7 linked regions of the Rattus norvegicus genome follow. The main gene of each other region encodes a partner of the protein of the gene in region 6 in a complex. Links are inferred from orthologs where the notes say so. Each region holds a gene or a part of one and is shown on either strand. Other genes may lie near its edges. The genes, in order: Nup133, Cetn3, Nup98, Ranbp2, Nup153, Nup107 and Nup93.

Evidence for each region.
Region 1: the proteins of Nup107 (region 6) and Nup133 are in contact, whole or in part, in a crystal structure (PDB 3CQG), measured with the Homo sapiens proteins. The link is inferred for Rattus norvegicus from reciprocal best matches to the Homo sapiens genes NUP107 and NUP133. Residues at the interface, in NP_065134.1 of Homo sapiens: Leu875, Gln876, Ala878, Asp879, Val881, Ser882, Ser883, Glu884, Tyr889, Lys894, Leu897, Arg898, Leu900, Leu901, Gln902, Arg905, Ser908, Leu909, Leu912, Asp917, Pro918, Leu919, Tyr921; in NP_060700.2 of Homo sapiens: Trp937, Leu938, Ile941, Asn942, Gln944, Leu946, Tyr963, Ala965, Lys966, Lys968, Thr969, Leu970, Gly972, Leu973, Lys975, Leu976, Ala977, Leu979, Ala980, Ser981, Asp982, Ile992, Glu999.
Region 2: Nup107 (region 6) and Cetn3 share a complex: the UniProt entries of both Homo sapiens proteins name them as parts of the nuclear pore complex. The link is inferred for Rattus norvegicus from reciprocal best matches to the Homo sapiens genes NUP107 and CETN3.
Region 3: Nup107 (region 6) and Nup98 share a complex: the UniProt entries of both Homo sapiens proteins name them as parts of the nuclear pore complex. The link is inferred for Rattus norvegicus from reciprocal best matches to the Homo sapiens genes NUP107 and NUP98.
Region 4: Nup107 (region 6) and Ranbp2 share a complex: the UniProt entries of both Homo sapiens proteins name them as parts of the nuclear pore complex. The link is inferred for Rattus norvegicus from reciprocal best matches to the Homo sapiens genes NUP107 and RANBP2.
Region 5: Nup107 (region 6) and Nup153 share a complex: the UniProt entries of both Homo sapiens proteins name them as parts of the nuclear pore complex. The link is inferred for Rattus norvegicus from reciprocal best matches to the Homo sapiens genes NUP107 and NUP153.
Region 7: Nup107 (region 6) and Nup93 share a complex: the UniProt entries of both Homo sapiens proteins name them as parts of the nuclear pore complex. The link is inferred for Rattus norvegicus from reciprocal best matches to the Homo sapiens genes NUP107 and NUP93.

The regions. Positions count from the first base shown.
Region 1 is NC_086037.1:68,790,960-68,793,909, reverse strand, and holds part of Nup133 (nuclear pore complex protein Nup133), read left to right. Parts: intron 1-431; coding exon 432-496; intron 497-2,070; coding exon 2,071-2,159; intron 2,160-2,950. UniProt on the Homo sapiens protein: Involved in poly(A)+ RNA transport. Involved in nephrogenesis.
Region 2 is NC_086020.1:13,823,401-13,828,086, reverse strand, and holds the start of Cetn3 (centrin-3), read right to left. Parts: upstream 2,997-4,686; 5' UTR 2,909-2,996; coding exon 2,892-2,908; intron 1,362-2,891; coding exon 1,226-1,361; intron 1-1,225. UniProt on the Homo sapiens protein: Plays a fundamental role in microtubule-organizing center structure and function. As a component of the TREX-2 complex, involved in the export of mRNAs to the cytoplasm through the nuclear pores.
Region 3 is NC_086019.1:166,000,245-166,004,916, forward strand, and holds the start of Nup98 (nuclear pore complex protein Nup98-Nup96 proprotein), read right to left. Parts: upstream 3,123-4,672; 5' UTR 2,994-3,122; intron 1-2,993. UniProt on the Homo sapiens protein: Plays a role in the nuclear pore complex (NPC) assembly and/or maintenance. NUP98 and NUP96 are involved in the bidirectional transport across the NPC. May anchor NUP153 and TPR to the NPC.
Region 4 is NC_086038.1:27,033,459-27,037,224, reverse strand, and holds the end of Ranbp2 (E3 SUMO-protein ligase RanBP2), read right to left. Parts: intron 3,143-3,766; coding exon 2,869-3,142; intron 2,743-2,868; coding exon 2,408-2,742; intron 1,896-2,407; coding exon 1,590-1,895; 3' UTR 652-1,589; downstream 1-651. UniProt on the Homo sapiens protein: E3 SUMO-protein ligase which facilitates SUMO1 and SUMO2 conjugation by UBE2I. Involved in transport factor (Ran-GTP, karyopherin)-mediated protein import via the F-G repeat-containing domain which acts as a docking site for substrates.
Region 5 is NC_086035.1:18,216,348-18,220,233, reverse strand, and holds part of Nup153 (nuclear pore complex protein Nup153), read right to left. Parts: intron 2,558-3,886; coding exon 1,952-2,557; intron 1-1,951. UniProt on the Homo sapiens protein: Component of the nuclear pore complex (NPC), a complex required for the trafficking across the nuclear envelope. Functions as a scaffolding element in the nuclear phase of the NPC essential for normal nucleocytoplasmic transport of proteins and mRNAs.
Region 6 is NC_086025.1:55,238,971-55,242,856, forward strand, and holds the end of Nup107 (nuclear pore complex protein Nup107), read right to left. Parts: intron 1,579-3,886; coding exon 1,411-1,578; intron 986-1,410; coding exon 878-985; 3' UTR 640-877; downstream 1-639. UniProt on the Homo sapiens protein: Plays a role in the nuclear pore complex (NPC) assembly and/or maintenance. Required for the assembly of peripheral proteins into the NPC. May anchor NUP62 to the NPC. Involved in nephrogenesis.
Region 7 is NC_086037.1:10,790,877-10,795,396, forward strand, and holds the start of Nup93 (nuclear pore complex protein Nup93), read right to left. Parts: upstream 3,062-4,520; 5' UTR 2,999-3,061; intron 1-2,998. UniProt on the Homo sapiens protein: Plays a role in the nuclear pore complex (NPC) assembly and/or maintenance. May anchor nucleoporins, but not NUP153 and TPR, to the NPC. During renal development, regulates podocyte migration and proliferation through SMAD4 signaling.

The sequences.
Region 1 (2,950 bases), on a different chromosome or scaffold from region 6:
TCTGGGCTTTCCCTGCCCGACCCTTTATCATCTTAACCTCTGAGATTCCTGATGAACTCAGTGGGACCAGCACAGCTGTCAGCAGAGCAAACACTGGAGAGGGTAAAGGGGACTGGAGCGTCACAGGCAGGGACACCTGCTGCTTTTGCAGGGACCCTGGTGTGTTCCTCACCCACATGGCAGCTCACAACCATCTGTAGCTCCAGTTCCAGGAGATCCTGTGCCCTCTTCTGGCCTCCCTGGGCATCATGCACACACACAGTACATTTATATACATATCAGCAAAATATTCATAGGCATAGGCAAGTTTCTAGGTGGCGGTGGTTGTGAGTTCGTGTGAACGCAGTATAACTTGGGGCCAGGATTATGAAGTTTTACTGTGCTCTTCAGTGAAGCCGAGCTTTAGTCGGGTTGCTCTGTTTGCTGTACAGGAGGAAGATGTGAACATCGATGACCTGAAACTGGAGATCCTGTGCAGAGCGCTGCAGAGAGACGAGTAAGTCCTCTCGGGCACCAGGTCCACGGGTGGGAACCGTGACTGGGCACACAAGATGGCTTACGTGCTTCTGGGTGTTTCACCTTTAGCGTAACACACCATGGGTTACTGCGTATTGATTGAGTTTCCCGTTGTGCACTCCAACCCCACTCATCTCCCCACCCCTTCTGTCTGTCTTCCTATGCCCTTGCAACTCCCCCAGTAAAACAAACAACAAAAGCATAGAAACATCCCATCTTGGAAGCTGTAACATGTCACAGTGTGTCACACAGTATGTCCATCTGTCCATACATCTTTACTTGCTCTGTTCATTGCAATGACTTATTGGTCTGGCTCCACATCTCTGGCTTCTGTGACATCGTCAATATTGGGTCCTTACTGGACCTTCTCCTGGTTATCCTGTTGTTGCTCTGTGTCATGGAGATCCTACAGGTTTGGATCAGCAGGGCTGGTCCTTACACACATCTCTCGCCATTTGAAGAGTATATAGACTGTGGGCCAATCAGAGCCCTGAATCTAGGCCTGTGGTAGGTAGCTGAGCTGGCCAGCCTGCCAGCTCTACCTTATCCGCACCACCAGGGGGAGCTCTCCACTGCTCCAGCTAGGCCACCCAGTGCCACCGTCAGCAAGAGCAAGGTTGGCTGTCGTGCCCTTAGGCTGGCTTACCTGCACATCCTCCAGAGCCAGCTTCACTGTGTTGCCCAGTTAAGGCAAGGAACCAGCCTGGGAGGGGCTGGGCCAGCTCTCCCTCCCTCCCTCTCTCTGCCCTGGACTGGCTCCACTATGCTGCTTAGGCAAAATGCAAGGCAGGCTCCTGAGTGAGGAGCAGGACCAGGTCTTTCGCTCTCAGAAACATACTGTATTGTGATGAGAACTCCCTGGCCCAGTTTCAAATGTTTAGCCATTGTATGTGGGTGTGGTAGAGGTCAGAGAATAACCGTGGAAAGTTCTCTCCTTCCCTACCTTCTTCACCTGGTGTCAACCTTGCAACATCAGACCTGGATGGCAGAATGTTTACACACTAAGCCCTTGTTTTACATTGGCTGTGGCTGTGTACATGGAGCACTAGAAAACAGCTGCAGGATCTTCATGGCCACAGCTGAGGTCGCACACTCATGGTCAGGAAAGACAGGAAGTGCTGAGAACTGTTTAGACTGCTGTGCTCGGGACAGCATTCTAGGATGCTGACTAGGTTTGTAAATGAAGCATTTTCTTCAGAAAGATGCCTCACAACAGGTATGATAACGTGCCTGTGATTCTAGTAGCACCTGAGAGGTGTGAGGCGTGAGGATAGAGTTTGGGGCTAGCCTGTACTACATAGCAAAATGCCATGTTCAAAAAACCAAAGTCTTAAAGCTTCTGTGGTGGTGGAATTGATAGCATGTGCTGCCAGTGTAGCTTAGGCCAATACAGATGTAGATAGGTCCCATGTCTAAAGTCTGTCACTTTGATACTTTAGAGCAGTGTCCCAGAACCTGTCATCCCATGGCTATCAGGAGAAGGCCACAGTGGCAAACAAAAACCATGTGTCAGTTGCCATGATGATTCCGTTTACCTTGTGATTTTTTTTTCAGCTGGTCTGGCTCAGATGGCAGAGACGATCCGATTGAAGTGTCTAAAGACAGTGTGTTTGTGAAGATCTTGCAGAAACTTATAAAAGATGGTAGGTGATTTATTAACTATTAGAGATTAAATGTTGCAGGGGGCTTGGTGGAGCACATCTTTAATCCCAGCACTCAGGAGGCAGAGGCAGGCAGATCTCTGAGTTTGAGGCCAGCCTGGTCTACAGAGTGAGTTCCAGGACAATTAAAGCTGTTACACAGAAAACGTTGCAAGTTAATTTTGGATATCGTGGGAATTGTGTGTTGCCAACATGACCCGTGCCAGGGGTCAGATGAATTGGGATCCTGTGCAGGATAAGCCTTGTTCTCAGTGAAGGTGCTTTTCTGTTTTTGGCACTGGGGCCTCAGGGTTAACAAGGTTCAGTTGAAGTTCTTCACCCCTTGACACAGACTCTGGTTATAACAGCCAAAGTCTGACTGAAATGACTGTCTGCTGACTCCTGCAAAGACTGCAGATGTGAAAAGAGAAATAGACTCTCGGTGTACTCCTTCCTTCCTGAGCTGCTCAAGAGTAAATGACAAGAGGGCTGCAGAAATGGCTCTGCAGTTACCAGACGGGCGTTCAGTTCCTAGGTCCCATGCTGGGCAGCTCACATCTGCCACACAGTCACCAGCTCACACATGGCACAGTCACCAGCTCACACATGGCACAGTCACCAGCTCACACATGGCACAGTCACCAGCTCACACATGGCACAGTCACCAGCTCACACATGGCACAGTCACCAGCTCACACATGGCACAGTCACCAGCTCACACATGACTGCTGGGCCATCTCAGCAGTAGAGACTTCCGCCAGGCCTGAGGACGTGAGTTCATCCCCACGTGGTGG
Region 2 (4,686 bases), on a different chromosome or scaffold from region 6:
AAAGGTCATTGAGCGGAGGAAGCTTTACTTAGCATACAGGGGACAGCCAGAAACAGCTTATGAGCAACGAACATAGTCAAAGGATTCAAGAACAACAGGAATTAATGGTGGTGTAAAAGACAAGTCAGAAATGAGGACGCTCCAGCTATGAGACAAAGTCCCCATCTGTGATGGTCAATGACAACGAATAGCTAAGACACTGGACAGGAAGAACTCATGCTATGTGGAGGAGGGGAGCAGCAGCAAGAGAACAGTGGGTTAGGGAATGAGCTAAAGGAGGACCTCAAGACTGAGGCCAAAGCTTCAAAGTCTATTATTACTTTTAAATAGTCTATCATCTCGCTACATAGATTCTACCCCTATAATGTTAAAACTACTAAATGAACTTTTAAGGGTACTTAAAGAGATCAAAATGTGATCCTTCTTACTAGGCTGAACGTGAGAAATGTGTTCATAACCAATTTCCCCTTCCCTCTTTACTAGTAATTAAAGCCTTGGGTAGGACATTTTCCTTCTGCACGTAGCAACATTAGGCATCAGACAATTTATATCCTTTGTAACAGAGAAGAGTGTACTCTAAGAGTGTGCTAGTATTATCTTAAAAATTAAAAGTCAATCTCAAATGTCTGAGCAAAGTCAATGATCTCTCCATTTCAAAACTGTCAGTAAGAGTTCTCGCCCTAAAATCTTGAGGACCAGAGTTCAAATCCCCATCACTCATGTAAAGACAGGCATAGTTGTGGAGACAGCAGCGATCCCCAGAGTTCACTCTCAAGTGCTGAACTTCCAACTCAGGGAAATAGCCTGTCTCAAGGCAGTGGAGTAGAGTGATGGAAGATACACAGGCCCTATTCTGCCCACCACATGATACACAAGGGGATGTACAGGCCAGCAGGGGCACATGCATATGCCAAAAAATTTTGTTTTGTTAAAAATCTGAGCTATATCATCACACAGAAGAAAACAACTGTAGGAAGAACATGCTAAGAACTGTCCCTTTACTGGGTGAATGGAAAAGTTAGACTTCCCATCAAGATGCACTCTTACACTTAAATACAAGGTTCTAGAAGCCATACTCCATTTTTACTCCGTTTTCTTGTAGCACCTGTGGGTGGGCACTACAAACAGCCTCACAGTTCTGAAACAAGCTTCTAAAGTAGACTTTAAAGCAACAGGCACAAACGCAATTGAGTTAAACAAAAATGGATCTTAAATACCCTGTTACCTTTAATTCATGATAATCTATGGCTTGGTCTTTGTCGGTATCAAACAGTTCAAAAGCATCTTTAATTTCTTGCTTCTGTTCTTCAGAGAGTTCTCTTCGTTTTTTCCTTTTTGTTTTGTCTACTACAAGCTCACCTCTAGGACACAGAAAAATGCCTTTAGTCTACTTTAACCCAACTTAGGACAAAGAATCATTTTCTAAATTTCAACAGAGTAGTCTGGCACATAAAGAAACTGAGCCTAAGTTAACGTCCTGTAGTCCAAATGTACTTTTATAACCGAAATCCTAATCAAAGTTGAAAGCATCATACATATTATTCCTGTCATCTACCAAGAACATAAAAATAACCAAAAAAAAAAAACATACAAAAGTGAAATTCACAAATGACAACCAACTCACAATTACTACAAAAATCATCCATAAAACTTAAAAGATTACTTTAGCATTCTAAGTCCAAAATGTTTTTAGATTATACATTTCTAACAGTGCTTTGTGGTTTTATTCCACTGATATTAGCCAGGCAAACTATTAAAGGGCCTAAACATGCAAATACTAGGCGCCCAGAATCGCAGCATCTAATACTCGTGCTTAAGTCCACGACGTGATGTTTAAAAGTGTTTTAACTCTCACTTAACATGTAAACGATAGGTTAGACGTCTTCATTTAAAAACTCTGAAGTTTAAAGGAAATCTAAAAAGGGCACTTGGATCTGAAAATGTCTGCCTTAAGAGCTGCCAATGCAAAAAGCAGTCCAAATGTTTAAACGAGGATACGACACAACACGTGTATCAGCACGTTTTAAAAGATGGAAGCTTTAAAACCTCAAAATCTTAAAACTCGGCTGACTGTAACAGCGTCTCGTCAGGAACGCCCTCCGGGTGGACCAGACGTGGGAGATCAGTGCTGAGCGGGTGACGGTGGCAGCCAGGAATCTTTCTCACGTGACCCCAGCTCACACACACACACACACACACACACACACCCCCAGGCTAATGCGCGGTCACACACACACACACACACACACACACACACACTCGCCACACACCCACCCCAGGCTAATGCGCGGACACACACACACACACACACACTCGCCACACACCCACCCCAGGCTAATGCGCGGACACACACACACACACACACACTCGCCACACACCCACCCCAGGCTAATGCGCGGTCACACACACACACACACACACACACACACTCGCCACACACCCACCCCAGGCTAATGCGCGGACACACACACACACACACACACACACACACTCGCCACACACCCACCCCAGGCTAATGCGCGGTCCGGGGGCGCCTTTAAGTGTAGATGGACAGGGTGAGGAGCCAATGGGGAGGGGGGATGTCCGGAAGTGACTGGAGGGTGTCACGGAAACGAGATCCACCCAGGACGCCCAAAGCACAGCGTGCCACGGGACCCGGGCAGAAAGGCGAGCTCTCCTGTGACTTTCCGGAGGAAGCAGGCGGCCAGGCCCGAAACCCGCAGATGCGTGAGGGAAACCTCGCGAGACTTCACTCGGGGAGCGGCGCTGTGGGAGGCGGGGACCGCCGAGGTCTGATGCTCGGCACTCCTCGTCCGCTCCCGACTCGGCCTCCCTTCCACGCCCTCCCTGGCCCCTCTGGGGAACGGAGGCGCGGCCTCCTCGTTACCGACCTCAGAGCTAAACTCATTTTCTCTTCCGACAGAGGTGTTCCGCTCAAGGACTTTACCACGAGAACCGCTCAACAGCCACCAACCTCCACGGCCTCGGGGACCACCCACCTGACAGAAGTTTCTGGGTGCGATTGGCCGAAATTGCCAACAGCCGGCCCATTGGGGCGGAAGCGTCGATTGTCTTCTGTTTCCATTGGTCAGCATTCATGTCAGTCAAGTACACATTTCGCCCTGCTGTCTGTCTGACCCCTTGGATTGGCCAGATGCTTTCCTGAATCCTTTGCGCGCCTGTTAAGTCACCACGCGGGGTTCAGGCAGGCAAGGCTAGGCTCTACGGGTGACATGGTGCTGGAGTTCCGAGCACGCGTGCACAGCGTCGACCGAAGGAAGGGGAAGAAGGCACGGCACAAGCAGCCTGCTCAGACGGAGCAGTGATTGAGGAACCAGGTCTACAAAAAGATGTACAATTCTGGGTGGCTGGTACACCCGAGAAACTTAAATCTAAAGGTGATGTTCTCCAATCTTAGTTCAGTAACGACCAAGCTAAGCATTCTTCCCCGTACAGCTTTCCCAAGTGATTTTAAGGCAGACTGGATTAGTCTTTTCATTTTGTTGTTTTGTTAGGTCATGTACAGTGAGACTACCTAAACCATCCTTTTCTTCTGTGCGACTTGCAATGTATTTGTTTGCTTCTGCTCTTCACTTTCTAGTGCTGTAAACCTTGTGTGTGCATTCTATCTCCACTCCCCACCAAGCCTCTTGAAGCTTACTTCGATCACCAAGCTGCTAGACCGACTGTCCTCAAGGCCACAATTCCGTTTACACGAATATTTGTACCAAATGAAATATCTGGAACTTAGGTGTTCCATAAATACTTGATGCGTAAAACGAAGTCTTATTGTGGAAAACTTGGAAACTCCTGAGCTAACCAAGCAGTTCTTATAGGCATAAATACAATAAACTGGGGCTAGGTGTTAGAAAAGGGAAATACTATATCTAAATTTGTATGTGAAGGAAGGACACTGGGTAATTGGCTGTGTATGAGTTAAGCCTGGAGTGTAGATAGAAATTTGACTAGAGAGTTGGGATAGAACTAAAAAGTAATAGCTAAATGGTAGCATTCCCAAAACCAAAGTAGAGAAATGAAGAACTTGCTGGGCGTGGTGCTACATACTTTTAATCCCAGCACCCAATAGACATACAATCGGATCTCTGAGTTCTTTACATTGTGAATTCCAGGCCAGCCAGGACTAGTAGTGAGACTCTGCCTAAAATATAAAATTAAGTACTTTTATTTCTTAAATATTTAATGTTAACTATTTAGTGCACAGATATGAAGTTAAGTTAAACATTGTACAATTACCAGTGATTCATAAGTGACTGTTCTGGAGGCTGTACATAGATCATAGTGGTATGATAGGTAGAATAATAGCTAAGGCTACATCTTGGTATCCTGAAACCATAAATATGGTACCTAATAGGGGAAAAGATGTCTACGAGTCAAATTAGAATCCACACCTTGAGATATAATGTTAAAATGGGTCATGAGAGGGAACAGAGTCTAATCACAATGTCTAATTCTGACGAGTACAGGACTTTTACCCACCTGTGATCAGAGCCAGAAAAGACTTGTTAAGGCTCAGTCTGTTATCATGGTTTTGAAAACAGAGATGTAGAGAAGCATTCCCCTGAGTCATGGATGCTAGAAGCCGAAATCGAACAGTGAAGAATAATGATGTCCCTGGAAGCAGGAGTGACAGACATCAGGACAGTGATGAACACCACCAAATGCAAA
Region 3 (4,672 bases), on a different chromosome or scaffold from region 6:
ATGACACATACCACTCTGTACAAGAAAGGAAAAGGCAGAAGAAATTAGGAGTTTAAAGTCAGCCTTAGGCTACATACCACGAATATTGTCAAAAAAAAGTTTTTAGACAGTTTATGAACTAACTTTACAAGTAAAGTAAAGAAAGAGCTTTACTAAAATGTAAGCAGTGATTTCACTCAGGGATATTTTTGATAATTTCTTGACCTTGGTAGTTACAACTTGGGCAGGAATGGCTAACTGCTATCAAACAGGTAGAGGAGGAAAGAAAGCTGTTACATATTCTACAACTCACAAGAGATCCTCCAAATTAAAAAATTATCTCAATAATCTCAGCTGCTATTTCAACAGCACACCAAAGTCTCATAAAATGCTTAATATCCGGCCTCTATTAAGATTTACATAATATATATACTCATATATACATATGTATACATATATATGTATGTATGTATGTGTGTATGTATGTATGTATGTATGTATGTATGTATGTATATGGGGGTGGTGGTGAGATGGAGTTTCTGTGTGTAACAACCCTGGTTTTCCTGAAGACAGATTTGTAGACCAGGCTAGCCTCAAACTCAGAGATCACCCTGTCTCTACCTCCTGAGTGCTGGAATTCAAGGCATAGAACTTCAGAATTTTATAGTCTTTTACTAGAAATTATTCGGTATTACAATACTGATGTCCTAGACTATCACCACACAAGTAATATTATTTCCCCAAATGTGAATTTGGTGGCCTTACAAGTATAATTAGATACCTAGGAGCTAGTGGCTACAAACCAAACCAAACCAAGTATTTCAGAAGTACACAAATATCTAGCCTGTTTCCTGGAATATTTTTCAGTTTAACTTTTCTACATTTGTTCATTCACAAAATACAACTGAGTACCACCTATGAGCCACATTACCTAAACATAAAAAAATTAAGTATCTATCATTTGTTTTTTGAGAAAGAGTCTCATTATGCAGTTTTGACTGGCCTGAAACTTTCTATACAGACCAGGCTGACCTCAAAGTCCCAGAGATCCACCTCCCTGTAACTCTGGAGTGCTGAGATTAAAGGCATGCCCATCACAGCCAGCAAGAAAAAAACTAAAAACAACCCCCCAAACAACAACAAAAGCCAAAAAAAACAAAAACAAAAACAAAAACAAAAAACCCTAAAACCAAAAAGGCAAAGAAAAACCCCCTAAAATCTAATAAAAAGACAAATAGTTAATATGTAAAATGTGTGCTAGAAGCAGAGATCAGCTAAGTGCTATGGAAGCTTACAAGGGAAAGTGTGCCAGAAAAAAAAAGCTTCCCAGGTGGTGATGCTCAAACTGAGAAAATGGTATAGAAAACACCAGGTTACAACTTTAAGACTTCAGTCCTCTTCTGTGCTTTTGCATTATTTGTTTTTAGGTTTTATGGTTTATATAAACATCAAAGTTACAAGCTAATGGACATATTCATCAAACTGACAACTAACTTCATCGAATCTTAAGTATCAGATTTAATTTTATCATTGTACTTCCCAGTACCCCTAATATGGTCACCCTCATTTTTTCTCCATTTTATTGAAATGAATTCAATTATTTCTTTTATCATATGTGTTAAGTGTCTGCACTTTTGTGTATGCACTAGTTCTCTGGTTTCAATTTTCAAAACTGGTCACATTACAGGCTTGCACCACATCTATATTGGTTTTATTCCCCACGCCCCTTGGCTTTTTGAGGCAGGGTCTCTCTTTGCAGCCCTGCTGTCCTGGAACCCAGTATGTAGAGTAGGCTAGCTTTGTAATCACAGAGAACCTCATGCCTTTGCCTCTCAAGCGCTGGGATTTAAGGTGTGCACTTTCAAGGTTAAAGTCTCTTTCACTATTTTTAAAGGTTCGTTCTCAAAAGTCTATGTTAAGTCTGGTTGTGATGGCAAACACCTTTAATTACATTACCTCAGCGGTAGAGGCAGGTGGTCTCTTTTGAGTTTGTGGCAAGCCTGTTCTACATAGCGAATTCCAGGCCAATCAGGGCTTTGGAATGAGAGCTTGTCTCAAAAAAAAAAAGGGGGGGGGGGGGTTGGAGATTTAGCCCAGTGGTAGAGCGCTTGCCTAGCAAGCGCAAGGCCCTGGGTTCGGTCCCCAGCTCCGAAAAAAAAAGAAAAAGAAAAAAAAAAAAAGCAAAAATAAAAAGTCCACATCAGTACTACTAATCAAGTTACCTTATAAAAGCGAAGATGGTTGCAGCTAAACTACTGGAACTATATTGAAAACTATGTCAAATGTCTGTGTCCTTCCCCTTACCAAATAAAGAATTGCCAATATTGGAAGACTGGAACATACAGGAAGGATGGAATAGTATAAAAATTCTACTAGACCTGAGCCAAGACTCCTGGGATTTCTGAATCCTGTCTCTTACTCTACCTCCCTCCCTCCCACCTGCAAAGCCTCTGACGCAGACTGGGGGTGATTGACAATTTAAAATGCTTATGGCTACAGTAATTCAGAAATTCAATCTTTCTCACCTAGGTTTACACGGAACAAAAAGAACCCTTCATTCCACTGACCAGACAATTGTCATTGTCTTAAAAAGCCAACGCAGTTCTGACTCACTCAACCCCTCTGGTTAACCCTAGACAAAACGCGTCCTGTAGAGTGGTCCAGAAAGTGATGGGGAGACCTCAAGTCCCCTAAGGCACCACCCCGCATGGGCCAGCCTACCACGGGCTGCTCACCTCCACCCAGCGAATGAATGAGTAGCACCGGTGAGAACGAGGTTCACTCAGAGTGGGCGGTCACCCAAGACCCCCCAGCCTACGCCCCACACAGTTGGATCCCCTCCATGGGCCTCCGGAACCAGGCCACAGGGCCGCGGGCCCCGCCCCCTCACGCAGGCCCGAAGGAGCGCGCCCGGCACGAGACTGGTCGGCGAAGAGGGCCCGGGTTGTCCGGCGCAGATGCCGGTACAGAGGGGATGATCTACCTGCCCAGCCCCGTCAGCGCTCCCGACTTACAGCGGTGTGTCTGGAGTGAGAGCCCAGGTCCTTCCGTCACCCGCCGCTCACCAGAGCAGCGCGCGACCGCCAGGAAACCGTCGCCACCGCCGCCGCCACCGACCGCCGCTTCGGGCGCAGCGCGTAGAGGCCCGACTGCGTCACACGCCGTCTACCGTCAGAGGTCGGCCCCAGGCGCTCCGCCCTTGGCGGCCGGGCATTGGCAGGCCGGTCCGCCACTCGAGGCCTACCCCGTTATTCATTGGGTGACGAGCGTTTTGAAACCGAACGTGAAGGCGGTCTCTGATTAGGAGCGGAGAGGAAGAGGAGGGGCGTAAGGAATTGCGGGGAGAGGGGGAAGAAAAAAAAAAAGGAGGGACTATGGGGAGGGACGAGGAGTCCCACTCTCTCTGCGGCAACGGTTGGCTGAGAAAGGGTCATGACGTCACACAGGGCCCTCGAAGAGGGCAGGTGAGTGGCTAGAGTAGTGAGCACCAAACAGCAGTGACGTTGGGTTCAGACCCCGCCCCTTTCCTTGGAGCGCGGAGACTCGCTACGGAAGCTTCGGCCAATCAGAAGGAAGACCCAAGGATGATATGGTAATTGTTCTACCCTTCTCTAGCTCCTTTCTGCGGGCAATCATGGGAAGATTCCTTGGCCATCTAGCTAGCACTTGCGGAGCTGGAGAACCCTTCCCGGAGACCCATCAGTCCACAGAGCTTGTCTGCAGACAATCCTCTCCCCACTGCTCTTTCCAGTGCAAGCCAGCCCTCGTACACTTTTCCCTCTGAATCTCTAGGGTAGACCTGAGCCATGGACTTGCCCTACAGAGCTTGATCCCAATGAGCATTCTTGGCCCTTCAGCCTCAGCTGCACTTTCAGAACCTGTACTTGTTCTGGATTTCTTGCGCAAATCTCCCTCCTTCTCCTGGACACATTTGGTAACCTTAACAAGTCCGGGTGAAGTCAAGACCTTGTTACTTTGTATCTTATTTATTTTCTGTTCTGTGCTTCCTCCCTCCCCTGGTCTGGGTCAAAGCTTCATTTTCATCCTTTTGATGTTTTTCCTCCTAGGACCTAGCTAAGAGCAGAGGGGTGGACATGTTCTAGAAATCGGACCTCTCTAATTATTGAGGTCTCACAGATAGCAGGAGCTGTGCTCAAAAGAGAGGGTACACGCTACTTCTCCACCACCTCCTGGGGCATCAGTATAGAACTGAAACGAGATTTGTTAAGAATTTTAAAAGGGGGTTGGGAATTTAGCTCAGTGGTAGAGTGCTTGCCTAGCAAGCGCAAGGCCCTGGGTTCGATCCCCACCTCCGGAAAAAAAAAAAAAAAAGACATTGCTCAAGAATTTTAAATGATTCCTGCAAATAAAAACAACTTGAAAGGGCTGGAGAGATAGATGGACTCAGCGATTAAGAACATTGCTGCTCTTACAGAGGTCCTGAGAGTTCAATTCCCTGCAACCACACGGTGGCTCACAACCGACTATAATGGGATCTATATTTTTAAAAGAATCTTAAAAATGAAGTGGTGTCGGGGCTGGTGATGTAGCTCCGTTGATACAGCGCATGCCTGCCAGTTCAATCCCCAGCAACACATAACTGGACATAGAGGTGCACAGCTGCAGTCCCAGCATTTGGGAGGTGGAGGTAGGAGGATCAGAAGATGACAAGACAAGGTAAACACTTTCTGCC
Region 4 (3,766 bases), on a different chromosome or scaffold from region 6:
GAAATAATATAAAATGTCTCTTAAAAAGCATTTGCAACTGTGGCACATGTAACAATGGAGATCAAGCATTCAAGTCCAACCTCAGCTACAAGTTCAAGGCAATCCTGGGGTACAGAAGATGAATTCAAAATTAAAAAAAAAATTCATTTACTTAGGTTAAAAATATGGCATCGACTTCTCAGCTGAAAAACTTCACCACTTTTACATGACTTTATATTACATGGTTTCCAAAAAAGCTACTAAGTGTACATGGTTCTCTTTAAAAGGCCAACTTGAGGTAGGTTATTTCATGTATCTGGTTGCGGGATTAAGTATTTTTATAGTGATGCTATTACATAAATTCATTAAGTAAGCCATAACCTGCCTTGTCCAATCTAATGGTTGGACACAAGAAAACAGGTGATTCAATACTTAAGTTTGGATTACAGAGAATTTTATGGTTTAACTAGATTCCTTTTAGTGTTATACTGAGTAGGCCCATAAGAACATCCCCTTCTGTTTACCTAACTTGACACAAACCATATCCAAGTACATTTTCAGTGTTTAGCAAACTCTTGGTGTTGAAGTTTGAGCTCAGAGAGTGCTGGCCTTTAACTGATCCCATTTTACATCTAGTCACAGAAGGAACAGACAACTTAGATGCACAAGTAATCAATGTTTTAAATGTCATGACTTATCAATCATCACTTTATTTCTGCTACAAAATTCACCAGAAAAAGGTACTGCAACAATCTAATATAAAGCAAATCTTTAACCAAAGAACATGGTATCGATCTTTTAAAAAATATTGATACTTTATCACAAGAACTAGAGAAAAATTCAATTCTATCATCAGGACCAAGCTGAAGTTTCTGAGGTAGTAGAGACAGGTAACAGAAAAGTGAATGGAAAGAAGGAAGAAAATAGAGAAGAAAGGAGGATGGGAAGGAAGAAGGAGAGAAAGCTAGCTAAGGAAATAATCGACTTATTTAAAATGTAAAAATTAATGTCTTCAAAAGAGCACAACACTTCTTAAGAAAAGACAGTATCCTACTTAAAAGTTAATTTTAACTATACAGGAGCATAAAAATTCCAGAAGAGCACTTTGGTTAACTCTCATCTTCTGTGGCTCTATTATTCATAAGTTGAGTCTATACATAGATGAGCACAGGAATAGTTTTATATATATACATATATATTTCAAATCTAAAATAAAGTTATCTGCATTGTGGTCCCCTTATTCAGTAAGTACCATGCAAGAAGTCCAGATATCTTAACAGGAATTAAAATAAGATTGCATATATCATATTCCTTCAATAGTCTGGGAAATTCTATTGCTTTTAACAAAATTAGTATTAGCCATTCTAATACAGATATGTCAGGAGTACATAAAAACAAGTACACCTGAAATACACCAGTGTTTAAACTTTTATTTCACACCATGCAAGATCAATTACACACTAAAAAGTGACAACAGCTATAAGCTACAATTTTACATTTATACATCAGAAACGTCTGTTTTCAAAAGGTGAACATAATTACTATACTGTGTAACAATTAAGCATAAATTCAACTGCTTATATAGATAAAATCCACTGTGAAAAATTATTTTATAGCTGTCCACATTCTGTGATACAAATTCTTCTACTAACAGACCCTTTAGGAGAACCAAATGATTCAATCTTTCTCACAGTATCCATGCCATCCTTAACAAACCCAAACACTACATGCTTAAAGTCCAAATGTTCTGCTTTCTTCAGTGTTATAAAAAACTGAGAACTGTTGGTATTCTGGCCGCAATTGGCCATGGATAGTAAGCCAGGACCAGTGTGTTTTAGATCAAAGTTTTCATCGTCAAATTTATCTCCATAAATGGACTGTCCTCCTGTTCCATTGTATTTGGTAATATCTCCTCCCTGAAAACAAACAAAAAGATCTTTCTGTTAATACTGATTCAAACATTGAAACACACAGAAATCAGCCTGATGGGGTAAATCATGAATGCTCTATTTCTTTTAGAATGCATTTGACAGCAAGGCAGTAGTGGTGGTGCACACCTTTAATCCTAGCACTCAGAAGGCAGAGAAAGGTAGACTTAAGTTTGGGGCCAGCCTGGTCTTCAGAGTGACCTTCAGGACAGCCAAGAGAACATAGAGAAACCCTGTCTCAAAAGAAATTTTAAAAAATTTGGAAACTAAAAAATATGTTTTGTTGTTTTGTTTTCAGTGGGCAATCGGGGGCAGACACTAAGCATTAGAAATTTGGAGCCTTTCAGACTGAATGTTTGAAAAGGAGTAATGTCCAATTACAGTGTGGGAAAACTGAAAATTCACAAGATGTGGATAAGGGCAAGAAGAAATACCTTCCCAAATCCGTGTGGTCTAATTTTACCAGATATCATGATGTATGTATGTACAGTAACACTTACTTGGCAAATAAAATCTGGAACTACTCGGTGAAAAATGGAGTTCTTAAAACCAAAGCCCTTCTCTCCAGTGCATAATGCTCTGAAGTTCTCAGCAGTTTGAGGAACAATATTTGAAAATAATTCCATGATTATCCGTCCTAGAGGTTCACCATCCACACAAACATCAAAAAACACCACAGGATTGGTCTCCTTAGATAATTCCGCTGCAAGGGATACTTGTCCATTCTGGAGTTTCATTATATTTTGTTGACATTCTTCAATTTTTTTCTTAAAACACTCAGTTATTTCCTTTGTCTTAAATCTCACTGCAAGCTGTTCTATTTTTGCTTCTCCATCTGTTAAAAGGAGGTGAGGGTGGGGATGGGAAGACCTTAATATTAAAGTTACTTACAAAGCATGTGTAGGTTATAGATATCAGAAAAGTCAAACAAATTAAAAGGCATTTGAATGTACACACTCACCAGCATAATCTGAGGCAGTCCAAACTAAAGCATTGTTTGAAAAATTTAAAGGTTTTAATTCCATGGCTTTGGTAATAACATGGTTTGCACACACTTTAAAAACTTGGTCTCTTCTCATTAGGATCCGATAATAATTCTTCACTGAATGCCAAAGAATCTTTATATCTCCAATACCTCTCTCCTTCCACTGACTGACATCTCTATCCCATCTATAAAGTTTGGCTCTCTCTTTGAACAAAACTTCTTCATCTTCTTCTCCAGATTTCACTTCTACCTATGACATAAGATGAGAATAACTTACATAAACGGCTAGTTATAACAAATGCTATTAACCAATGCCAAAAGGTTTTACAATATGGTATCTAATAGCCTACACTAGTAATATATCTGACTTGGTTAAGCATTAATGTGATTTATTATTACAAAGTTTATCGCTGTGGAAGAAAATGCCTTTAAAAGGTCAAGAGGTTTCAAAAATGTTGATTCTTGCCAAGCATGGCAGTATTCAGCAGTAATCCCAACACTGGAGTGGAAGGTCAGTTCAAGGTCAGTCTGAGCTGTATGAGACCAGTAAGAATGTGGTTCTTTGCATGGGTGCTCAACAATCCCAGCACTCCAGAGCCTGAGAGACAGATTACCACAGGTTTGAGGCCACTCTGGGCTAGTACTGTATAACAATATGCTGTCTGGAAAACTAACCTCACACCCAAGTGTTCTATTTTTATGGCATTTTATGATTATGGCTGTTTTGCCTGCATGTGTATCTATGCATTAAAGTCTTCCATTGCCCCGATGCCAAAAGTAGGTATAAAATCTCCTGGAAGCAGAATTACAGGCAGTCGTTAGCCTCCATGTGGGTACTGGGAATTAGCCACTAAGCTCTCCCTCCAACCATTTT
Region 5 (3,886 bases), on a different chromosome or scaffold from region 6:
TTTTACAGTATTCTGCCCAGTAATCTTCTGTCTGAAACACTTGGTCTTGGTCTTATTCTAGTCAGCTCCTTCAAAGGTTATTCTGTCACAGTTGTTATTCCAGTTAGTCAAAGATCGATGTTTGACTCTTTCTCAGTTTGGAGTGCTTTCCTCAATTCACTGAACTCACATCTATTCCTAGGACTTCAAATATCAAACTGTGTGCTATAATCCCCTAAAATCTGCATTCCAGTCCCAAGGGTATAGATATAGTCCCTGTGATGAATTCAAAAGCCTCAAATATATATCTGAATGTCAACTTTACCACCTTGAAATCTGTCATTAGTACATAGTTCTAAATCCTCCCTCATTATCCAACTCTACCATCTGATCCTTTGTCACCATTATCTGCCATTTATATTACTCACGCAAACTTCCGAAGCTGTCCTTCCAAATTCTGCTACCTTGAATTCTGCTGCATTGTTCACAATCATTCCTAATTCTAATTCTAGGGGATCTGATGCCCTCACCTAACCTTCATGGATGTCAAGCAGTTATGGCAACATGCATACATACCACACATAGATACAGACAAAACACTCACATAAAATGAATAAATGTATAAATAAACTTGAAATATTAGGTACAGTTTGAGCTTAGAAACATGGCTCAGCAGTTAAAAGTATTTGCTGCTCTTGCAGATTGGATTAGTTTTGAAACACAATCTCTAACTCTAGTCCTAGGGAATCCAATACCTTCTTCTGGCTTCTTCAGGCTAACATATGCTCATACACAGAGAAACAGATGCACATACACATACCAAAAAAAATTTTTCCACCCAAAAATAAAATGAGAACTGGAGGCAGAGACAGGTTCTTTACCTCTTAAAGAATCCCCTGTAAATGACCAGGCCAAATTTGATATAATTATATCTACACTATGTTATCAATCAAGTTCCATGCCAGCAAGGCTTACATAAACTCTATCTGAAAACTAGAAGAAAAAAAATTAACCTGACCAAATCATCCGTTTGTTGACAGGGCATTGTGCCCAGAAGAAAGGTGGTGGTATTTTCATATTAATTCATAAAATTCCTTTGCTCCTAAATAATTTACTTCCTGATTCAAAATCTCACATCTGTCAACTCAGAATTCTAGTTTTCTCCACATATATACTTTTGTTGAGGTGAGGAGACAGTGCCAGATGGAAAGAGTTAAATATTTTGAAATCAGGATCCTCTTTTAATGCCAATTTTAACTAGAAATAGGAAGAGCTCAGGAAAGAAATCTGGCTAGTAAATCTCACATTACAGAATGTCTACAGACCCACAGCTGATGTGACTCCTACAGTCTTAACTCCTACAATAAACATGTTATTTGCTATCTATATTACTATACACTTTCAAAACAAATTTAAAAATAAATCTGCTAATAATAATTCTAAAATAAAGAGAATCTCAAACCAAATTCCATTTTTGTAACCAAGTTAAAGAGTTTTTCACCAAAATTAATTAAATTACAATCTGGTAGACAGCACATGGCTACAGAGAACACCAATAATCTTCAGAAATAAGCACCAGATTAAAGCATGACTACCTACTTTTTGAAGAACCCCTTGCAAATGACCAACCACCCTCATTTCTACATAGACAAAGGAGACACAGCAAGATGGTCTGAGGAAGACTAAACCACTGCGAGCTTTCAGTACCTTCACTTGTTATTATTAGATTCTAATGACACCACACAGAACAAGCAGCACAGAATGTGTCAGTTCACAACCTAGTCTGTGAGAACAAGTAATCTAAACCTAATCAAGAGATGTAAACTCCAAGATAGTTTTTAAAAAATTAAGACATAAGAAATGCTCGTCTGGAACCATTTTAAACACCAGGGTTTTCTAGGCCGTCTCACAGTTAAATGTTCTACCAAAGTAATGAGTAAAACTATTTCATAGCCATAGCTGTAAAACATACCTGGTTTCTCAGATGTACAGGAGACACATCTGCTGTCTTCTGCCTTATTAGAAACACAGCATACCGGACACTCCCAAGATCCCACGGGCCTTTTGAATTTATCTCCAAATCCTAGTGTACCAGTGGTCACGGTGGTAGAAGAGGAAGCAGTCACAGGACTTTCTGAAGCCACCGTCAATGGAAGGGCTCGCTTCACACCAGTGCCAGGTTTGGGTGTTTCACAGGCTACACATTTTACTGCTTCAGGCTTATTTTGCACTAAACAGGTATCACAATCCCAAGTTCCTATTGCTGGTTTAAATTTATCTCCAAAACCTGTCCCTGATGTAGAAGCTGGCTTGTCACTTTTGCTTGGTGTCCCAATTCCAGTCTGTTTAGCAGTTTCTTTCAGTGGCAGTTTTGCTGCTTGACAGGCTATACACTTATTGTCTGTGACTTTGTTCTGGAGTAGACATGTGTCACACTGCCATGATGATCCAGCTTTTAAACTTTCTCCAAACTCAACCCCACTAGAAGAAAAAGTACTTATTGCTGGTCTTGTATAAACTATTGAGCTTGTAGTTGTGGGCTGAAGAGCAGGAGAATCAACCTTTGGTGACATGAAACCTACAGTGAAGAAAAAAGAAGAGTGTTCCTCTAAACCAAGCCAGTGGGATTCTAATCAAATAATTAACTACATCATTATTATTGAGGGGGGAGGGTTTCCACAACTATCAGGTTATACAATCTGAGAATGATTAAGCTTTTTTAAATTACCTACACAAGCATATCATTATGTGTCTATATGACATTTAAATCTACTTATTTAAATCTAAGTTCTATAAATATAGAAACAGGTCATCTTTACATTATACACAATTTTCTCTAGTCTGTCACTGCTACCTACCACATGTCATTCTGCCTCCCTACAACAATGACCTCAGTACACTCAAGTCTTCCTCCTCATCCATTGCTTCTTCCAAGTATTCCCACAGCTATGTCACATGACTTCAGTATCTATGATCATTAAGTGTTGCCTAGTCAAAAATCCAGTGTTGTCTTCTACCTGAAGTCCGGCTAAAGGCCAGTGTAAAACAGGCATTTCATAGAAGTCCTTCCATCTATCCAGGATTGATATTTTGTCATAGGGTCTCAGTATCTAGCTGAGGTCAAACTTGAGTTCATCACCTGCCCCCAATCTTAAGTGCTGGAATTAGAGTGTACACCACCTAAGCCTAGATCAAGGATCGTCTTTTAATTAGTCACCTTTAAAACTGAACAGTTGTTAAGTCCCAACAAAGATGCGGCAAACCTCTAGACAGGCCTATAAACAAAGTGACTAAGACACTGTCTGTCCTCACCAAGGAGAAATCTTAGTGACAGAAACCCAAGTTAGATGCGTGACATCGCTCATCAATACAGTTTTGGAGTACTTCTTGCTGAAGTACTGAAGGAATAGTTTAAGAAAAATATTCACATGGAACTCTGGTATGGAAGTGGGGAAGCTTTCATTAAATTGACTCAATACCTAGGAAATGTCTTTCTTTGAAACAAGCTACCTTTCATACCATACACCCACACCATCAGGGATCTGGTTTTCCCAGCCTTTAGTACCACAGGAAAGAAAAGAAAGACTGGTACAGTCTGTCTAGTGTTGTCAAGGTATTATCCAGCCAAGCAGAGTAGGGCACTCCTTTAATCCTAGCAGTCTGGAGGCAACACTGGCAGATCATTTGTTTGTGAACAACCTAGTTAACATAATGGCCCAGTGAACTTCCAGGCCAGCCACGTTCACACAGTTCCACCCTATATTCAAAAAGTAAAAGAGAATGAAAGTCATGAGCTTCCATATGCTGCCCATGATCAGGCTGGCATAATCCCAGAAGCAATTTTTCCCTGGGAGCCACTGAATGTTTTTTTTTTTCCTTCCATTGTCAGGTTTTCCAAATTCAATTC
Region 6 (3,886 bases):
TTAATTTTAAAGCAAACTATTTCAACATGAAGTGCAGATTTTATGACTCTGAACCCTAAATATTTCAGCTTTTATCTCCTAAGAATGAGGGGGTACAGTTCCCACATTGACAGAACTCCAGTGATCACATCTAAGAAAACTAATACTCATTCAACAATGCTGAAAGATTTACACATCACATGTGTGTGACGTATGTGCACATGAGTGAAGCTCTTGCCAGAGGGCTCAGATCCTCTCTTCAGATGGGGTTAGAAGTCACTGGGTTTGCCTCCCATGAGAATGCTAGGCTGTCTGTTCATCCTGTGTGTGCCTGGTGCCCAGAAGCCAAAGGAGGGCACTGGACTTCTGAAACTGGAATTACCGATGGATGTGAACCAAGGTATGTGTGCTGGGGAATGAATCCTGACCCAGTGCTCTAACTGCTGAGCTACCCCTCCAGCTCCATGTTAAAACACTCTTGCTATTCATCCTGAACTTAATATTCAGAAAAATACCCAGTTTTATGATGAGAAATTACTTATCTGGATTGAAAACGAATCTATTCTTTCTTACCTACTCTCTTTAAACATTAATGTCAGGAATTTATGATTATAGGGAAAATATTTCACTTCTTTATTCTATTACATAAGAGAAAACGTATCTATAGAACAAAAAATTTATTTTGTATAATTTCTTTAAAAAATACATAAGGAAATACTGATATAATACAAAATTCAAAAGCCAAAATTTTACATTTTCCCCAAGAATGCCAAAGGAAACAAACAAACAAATAAACCAATAATTACAAATATGTATATCTGACCAAAACCAACCAACTAAGCAACACAGCCAAGCAAGCAGGCATCCTCTTGTAGTCACGGGCGCAGAGAATGGTGAATTATGACTGGATTTCATAGCCGAGCGGGTCAAGCCCCTGGTCTAGGAGCATCAGCGAGGACTCCCTTAACTTCTGCAGCAGTTTCCTTAGTTCTTCCTTAGAAAATACCTGACATTTAAAAAGGAGAAAAAAAAAAACATTAAAAATGAGAATATCGGGGTTGGGGACTTAGCTCAGTGGTAGAGCGCTTGCTTAGCAAGCACAAGGCCCTGGGTTCAGTCCTCAGCTCCGAAAAAAAAAAAAAAAGAGAGAATATTAACTTTTTAAAAAACCTAGTCAATCTTAAGAACCTTTCCTTGAAGCTCTATCTGTCTATGTGGCTCAGAGACCCACCTCCCGCTCCTTCACAGCAGGCTACTTACTTATCTATGCTCAAATGTATGGACACTTTTGAAACTAAGTACACTGAAACTAGAACATTATTTTCAGAAAACGCAAGAACTAAAATATGTAAACAGGGGTTTATTCACAAATATTACCATGCAAGCATATCAAGTGAGTAAAAGTTACACTGCAAATGGTCAGGGACTCACCAGATAGAGCTTGTGGCGCTCAGAGGACACCATGTCGGCCAGCTGCAGGCACTCCTGGTATTGCCCGGTGCTGTGCAGTATGGTGTGAAGCAGGAAGCACAGCATGGGGAGACAGAGCTTTCTCAGCAAAACCATCTGATGAGCTCGTTCCGGGTCTTCCTCAGCGTCCTGCAGACAAGCATCCAGGCTGCAGCTGAACAACTATACGCTATGTACGTTACCCACACAGAAGCCAAGTATAGCTGGCCGGTGTGGGAGCTGACACCTGCCACCCCAAACCTCAGCACCCAGGGAGCCACTGCAGGGGGCACGCGCAGGGTGAGGCAAGCCTGGTCTATACAGCATGCTAGAAAGATCCTGTCTCAAAAACATTAAAACAAAACCAACAAGTAATTAAGTAATTCCACTAGGAATCAACAGATTTAACCAACGGCAAATGAAAATGTCAAGGGAAAGCTGTATCTACATTAAACACGCACACTTTTTATTATTATTATTATTATTATTATTATTATTATTATTATTATTATTATTATTATATTAGCTAAGCAATCCAGTATACAACTGTTTAGATAGCATTTGTGGTAAAGTAGGTATCTGTGATCTGAAAGGAAGTTACAGACCAGGAGGATGTGTGAGGGATTCATGAAAACATCAAACACTCCATTTGCTATGATGAAAGGGAACAGTTTTGTCTCCACCAGGTCCTAGAGTGGCCTAGGCACGTTGAGGGTGGACTACTTAGTCAAAACCAGGAAACACTAAATTTCATTTTCCAAATCTTATCATGCCTATATTTTAAAATGTATGTGTACATTTGTATGTGAGTGGGTACAGGCATACATGTGTGTATAAGTACCAGAGAGTAACCTTGGGTGTCGTCCTCAGGAGCAGTGTCTGTCTCATTTGAGACAGGGACGCTCACTGCTCTGGAACCCACCAATTGGGTTGGACTGCCTTGCCGACAAACGCTGGGTTCCTCCTGTCTTTCCCTCCTTAGTGCTAGCTAGCACTGTAAGGAGAGCTTCTAGGGACCAGATCCAGGTTCTGGAGCTTGAAAGACATTATATACCTGAGCCATCACTCTAGCCTTCATCATACCTACTAAAATATAAAACTGGCAGTGTCAATCATATTATCTGGCCTATCAAACTAGATTTTTTAAAATATTTGTTTATTTTATGTATGTGAGTACACTGCTGCTTTCTTCAGATACACCAGAAGAGGCGTGGGATCCCACTAGAGATGGTTATGAGTGGTTGCTGGAAATTGAACTCAGGATCTGTGGAAGAGCAGCCAGTGCTTTTAACTGCTGAGCCACCTCTCCAGCCCTGATTGCTTTTTTTTTTTAGTAAAATTTTAGGGTCAAAGACATGAGGATGAAGAGAATGTGCCAGAGGAGACTGTGAAACACGACACTGCCAAAGGACCTGCAAATGCACCCAGACTAACGGCCCACAAAAGAACCAGAGGCCGAACATCGTAAGAGTAAAGCAGACAAAACTACCAGCTACTTCCTCAGTCCATTAATGCACGATAACTGTCGTACCCTCATCAGGCCAGCAAGGGTCAAGACAGGGATGGCCGTCTAAGGACTCGGAAGCTTCTAGGAGAATATTTCTTTGCACAGTTTTAAAAAAAATAGAAAATTTTAAAGCGTGAGGCCTTGAATAGTGGTGACTAAGAGAACAGAGACTGTGTCTTAGCTGTTAGGAGCACTGGAGGCTCTTCCAGAGGACCCTAGTGTGATTCCCAACATTCACATGGTGCCCAACAACTTTAACTCCTGTACCAAGGGATCCAATGCCCTCTTCTGTGCACAGGCATACATGCTGGCAACAGGTTCATAGACATGAGATAAAGACTAATTTTAGCAGGGACTGGTAGTGCATGCCTTTAATCCCAGCGATCAGGAGGCAGAAGCAGGAGGATCTCTGAGTTAGAAGCCAGCCTGGTCTACAGAGTAAGTTCTAGGACAGCCAGATCTACACAGGGAAATCTTTCCTTAAAAATAGAGATGGGGAAGGGGCTGGAGAGATGGCTCATTGGTTAAGAGCACTGGCTGGCTGCTGTTTTAGAGATTCTGAATTCAATTCCCAGCAACCACATGGTGGCTCACAACCATCTTTAGGAAGATCTGATGCCCTCTATAGGCAGGCAGGTATATATGCAGCAGAACACTCATACATTAAATAAATAAACTTAAAAAAAAAATCAATGACTATGATTCTTTTCTTTTTTTTTTTTTTGGTTCTTTTTTTCGGAGCTGGGGACCGAACCCAGGGCCTTGCGCTTCCTAGGTAAGCGCTCTACCACTGAGCTAAATCCCCAGCCCCAATGACTATGATTCTTAAAAAAAAAAAAAGAGAGAATGTCAGAGACAGAGAGATATCGGAAGACACTTTGTTACAGCAAAAAACAGTGTCTCCAAATTTTTTTTTTTTTTTTGGTTCTTTTTTTCGGAGCTGGGGACTGA
Region 7 (4,520 bases), on a different chromosome or scaffold from region 6:
GAAATTTCTGGAGGTGCTTGAGGTTTTCCTGGTAGTCAGTAACTGTGTACTGGAGTTAGATTAAGCTACTATTTGAGCGCATTGGTGGAGTAAAGTGGCCTTTAGTCCTTACAAACAGAAGGCCGCTGACTGCGAAAAGTGAGTTCAGCGCAAGCGTGAGGATGCGAGTTTGAATCCCCAGTACCCATGTATAAAGCTGAATGTGGTGGCATCAATTTGACACCAGCACTGAGGGAGGGATGGACAGAGACTGGTAGATCTTGGGTGACTCATTGGTAAGCTGGTCTAGCCAATTGGTAGGCTCCAGGTTCAGAGAGAGTTGCTGTCTCAAAAAGCAACAAAAACATCCAACGCCAACCTCAAGACTCCTGACCTGGGACATCCACAAACACGCATGGGCATGCATCTCACCACCCCCAACACACACACACACACACACACACACACACACACACACACACACACAATCAAATGCATACAAAGTATAAAGCTACAAAACATTTCAACCTTTAGGTTATTTGAAACAGAGGAGAGAGAACTATAAGAGGCCATAAAATAAGGCAAAAAAACAAACAAACAAACAAACAAACAAACAAACAAAACTCCTGCATCTTTAAATTCTAATTCTTTCTCCAAACCAATTCTTTCTACTCGTCTATCTGATAGCTACTCCTGACTGATCTATGAGTGCCAGCGACAATTCTAGTTCCTCATCTTAGGTCCCCACAACAGTCAATTTAACCAGAAACCATCTGGCTCCCCTCTCCCCCGAGCCCAGCCTATCTCCAAGTTTACTTCTCATACCTCATAACGAGTCACACCCTCACCTTTCCTCTCTGCTCTGACCCTCATAACTTCCTCCAATTACCTCAACAGCCTAAAACTTCCCATTTCTTCTAACCCAGTCTTGCTGTGGCCAAAGTGGATATTCCAAAATACCTCCTACTTTAGACCATCAGGGGCACCTTCAACCTCAGGTTGTGACCTGGCTGCATGCTCTGTAGAATAGACAGTGCCATGCACCATCTTCGACTCCTCCCCAGCTGTACCCTGACAGTTCTCTATGCCTTAGGAAGCTCTGCATAGTTTCCTTCCTTCATGCTCCAGTCCATGTCAAGTACACTCACATCCTCACCAGACACAGGGAGCTCCTAAGCATACTGCCAAGTCAGAGGGCTGCTCTAACCTACCCAAAGGACTCCCTAATTATACTGAACGTTCTTCCCTAGTGGAGCAATTGCAACCACTTCTTCTCAAACATGTCTTCCTGTAGGGAAAGGTTCACAAATATTTAACCCTGAATCCTGAGCATCTAGCTAAGCCTGGCACACAACAGAACTAAAAATGTGTTTGCTAATTAAAATGACCAGTGACCATAACAGACTTGGGTCTTCTTCCTGATCTTTACTCTGTCACACACACACACACACACCCACACTTCTAAATGTAACTACCTCATAGGCCCAGGGGTTAGAGAGATGGCTCAGCAGTTAAGAAAACTTACAGCTCTTTAGAGGACCCCAGTTTAGTTCCCAGCACCCACATCAGTGATTTACAGCTAGCTGTCTGTAACTCTAGCTCCAGGGAACCAGACACTCTCTTCTGGACTCCATACATATATCCATATACATAAAAGTCACACAAGAAGGAGGGGGGAGGGGGACAGAGACCCCAAACTCACCACAGCTCCAACAGTTCATCTCTCATGGTGTGTGTGTGTGTGTGTGTGTGTGTGTGTATACACACACATACATACATATACACACACACATATATGTACATATGTATATACACTCATATGTATATATAATATATATTATATATATGATGTCTTCCCAAGAAACAAGCCTGTCTCATTCACCACCACATTCACAAGCCTATAATGATATCAATAACATTCATTTATTTGGTATTTATTGAGCACCTACTTTATTGTGTGCCAGACCCAGGTTCTAGGTAGGCGCTCATGTTCTACAGCGGAGAGACAAGACATAGGTCGAGTAGAACCTAAATATTGGAATACAACTAAGGCAGTGAAGACAAGGAGTGAGGAAAGGTTTACACTCTAAATGCCCCTCTAGAGCTGGCAAAACAGACATCCAACCACAAGAACTAAGACCTGAAGTCAAAGCATGTCTAGCAGTGGTAGCGGTGGGGGGGGGGGGGGGTGTAACAGACTCTGAGAATGTGGGTCACATTATTTAAAAGCCTTACAGCTCACTATGGGGGGGGGGCTTATATTATTGTTGTTATTATTATTACTATTATTACTAAAGCACTGACCTTTGCTTGTGCTGAAAGTCATCTAGGGAACTAGGGGTGGATGATGATGATGATGATGATGATGATGATGATGATGATTATTACTGTTATTGTTACTAAAGTGCTGACCTTTGCTTGTGCTGAAAGTCATCTAGTGAGGTAGGGGTGGGGCAGGGTCTAATGTAGACCAGCCTGGCTCCAACTCCCTTTGACAGTGACACCATGCCCGGCATGCTGTGATTTTCTTTTAGAAGGGACCCAATATATTTGGGCACTCCTTACAGAAGATAGGATACAGGGTACCCAGAAACAGAAGAGACAACCGGAGTGGCAACCATTAGCATCCTGTTGGATTATCCGTAAAAGGAGACAACAGTTGACAGGGGTTCGCTGGGTGGCCTCCCTTCACCCGGAAAAGCCATTCTCTAGAAGAACGCCCCCCACGACCCACAGAGGGCAGCCAGGCCTAGTGACGCCTGGCAGCCGTGGGTGGGCGTGGCGATAGTGCACCAGTAGGAAGGACCACGCTCAGAAGAGCCTAGTCACAGCACTCGGTGAGCTGTCGCCGGTCGGCGTGCCCAGCCAGCCACCACAAGAAAGGAAGCGCGAGCCTCGTGGCTACGAACATAGGATGGAGTTCGAGTTAGGCTCGGGGTTCTGCTTCGAGGCCAGACCCCGAACTCGGGCCAGGCCCAGGATCGGGGTCGCGTGGTCGCCCACGCCGCACATGCCTTACCTGGCTCTGCCGCCTGCTCGCCGCCAGCTCCCGGCTACTTCACTACGCCGCCGCCGCCGCTTCTCGCGCCGCTCGCCCGCGCTTCTTGATTGGCTGAGGCGGTCAGCTCCCAGAAGCCCCTGCGCGTTGCGCCGCCAAGTGAACTTTATGGAGATCCGCAAGAGAACACAGACGTGGGCGGGGCTGGGGCGGAACCAGGGGCGGAGCTGTCGCTACAAGTAAGTCAAGGGAGCTCCGCCCTTCTCCCGCCCACGTAGTTCAGGTTGACAGTACTTGAGAAAGCATTTCCGCAGTTCCCACAGCTGGACCAAACCAGAGAGCTCAGCTACTCGCTGTAGAGCTCTAGGCAAGTGCCTGGGCTTGTTCTAGGTGTTGGGGACACGGTGACTTCCGCAGCAGACAAGATCCCTGACTTCAAACGATTCTCAGCTTGGCCAGGGAAACAAAATATAGTGAATAAATACAGGAGTAATTAGGAGAGCTAAGAACAGAAAAGCAAATTAACTGAAGAAAAATGGTTGGGTTACCAAGGAAGGCTTCTCTCAGGTGACATTCTGACTAAAAGGTGGAAGCTAAAAACATGTTTTGGAGTTTTTAAGGGAAAAGTCTGTGTTTTGGCAGTCTGAACAAGCAAGCTAGGTTGGCCGCCTGCCCCAGTAGGCCAATTACAGAAAAGAACAGTGGTGAAACTTCAAAGAGATTTACTTCAGTGTAGCCATGTTGGGAAGTGGAACAAAGTGTGTCACTGGGATATATAAGAATCCTTCTGGAGGTTCTTAGTTTAGTAAGTAAAAAGAAATTTGAAAACAGACCCAGAAGGAAGACAATTTTGCTGGAAGTTTGAGAGAAAAATAACAGTACAGGCGGGTTGGGGATTTAGCTCAGTGGTAGAGCGCTTGCCTAGGAATCGCAAGGCCCTGGGTTCGGTCCCCAGCTCCGAAAAAAAGAAAAAGAAAAGAAAAGAAAAGAAAAGAAAAGACAAAACAGTACAGGCAAGCTACAGATCTCAGCAACTGCTGGGAGGAGAATGTGTGTGTGTGCGTGTGTGTGTGTGTGTGTGTGTGTGTGTGTGTGTGTGTGTGTGTCCTTGTGCCCAAGGGGGCCAAAAAAGGTCATCGGATCTGCCGGAGTGGTTGTGAGACATGGGTACTAAGAAGGAAACCCAACAAGTCCTTTGCAAGAGAAGTATGCTAAGCCATTGCTTCAGCTCCCATAATAGCGTTTACTTGTTAAAGAGGCATTTTTTGGGTTGCACAGTCTCAGACATGTCTAATCTTTCAGTGAAGGTCACCCACCTGACATAATGAGGTACATGTGAACACAGGCCTAGATAAAATTGTCACCATTAATAATTCTAGTTTGGTGGATGCCTGCCTGATAAAGTGTTCTATTAAGCTTTGCCTGATATGCTTAGGGAACCTAAACACACTTATCGGTCAAGGAAGCCCACAATAATTAGCATGTCAGCCGCATAGAACTTCTTTCTGCCTGCATGTGTATGTCTATACATTTGTGTATGTAC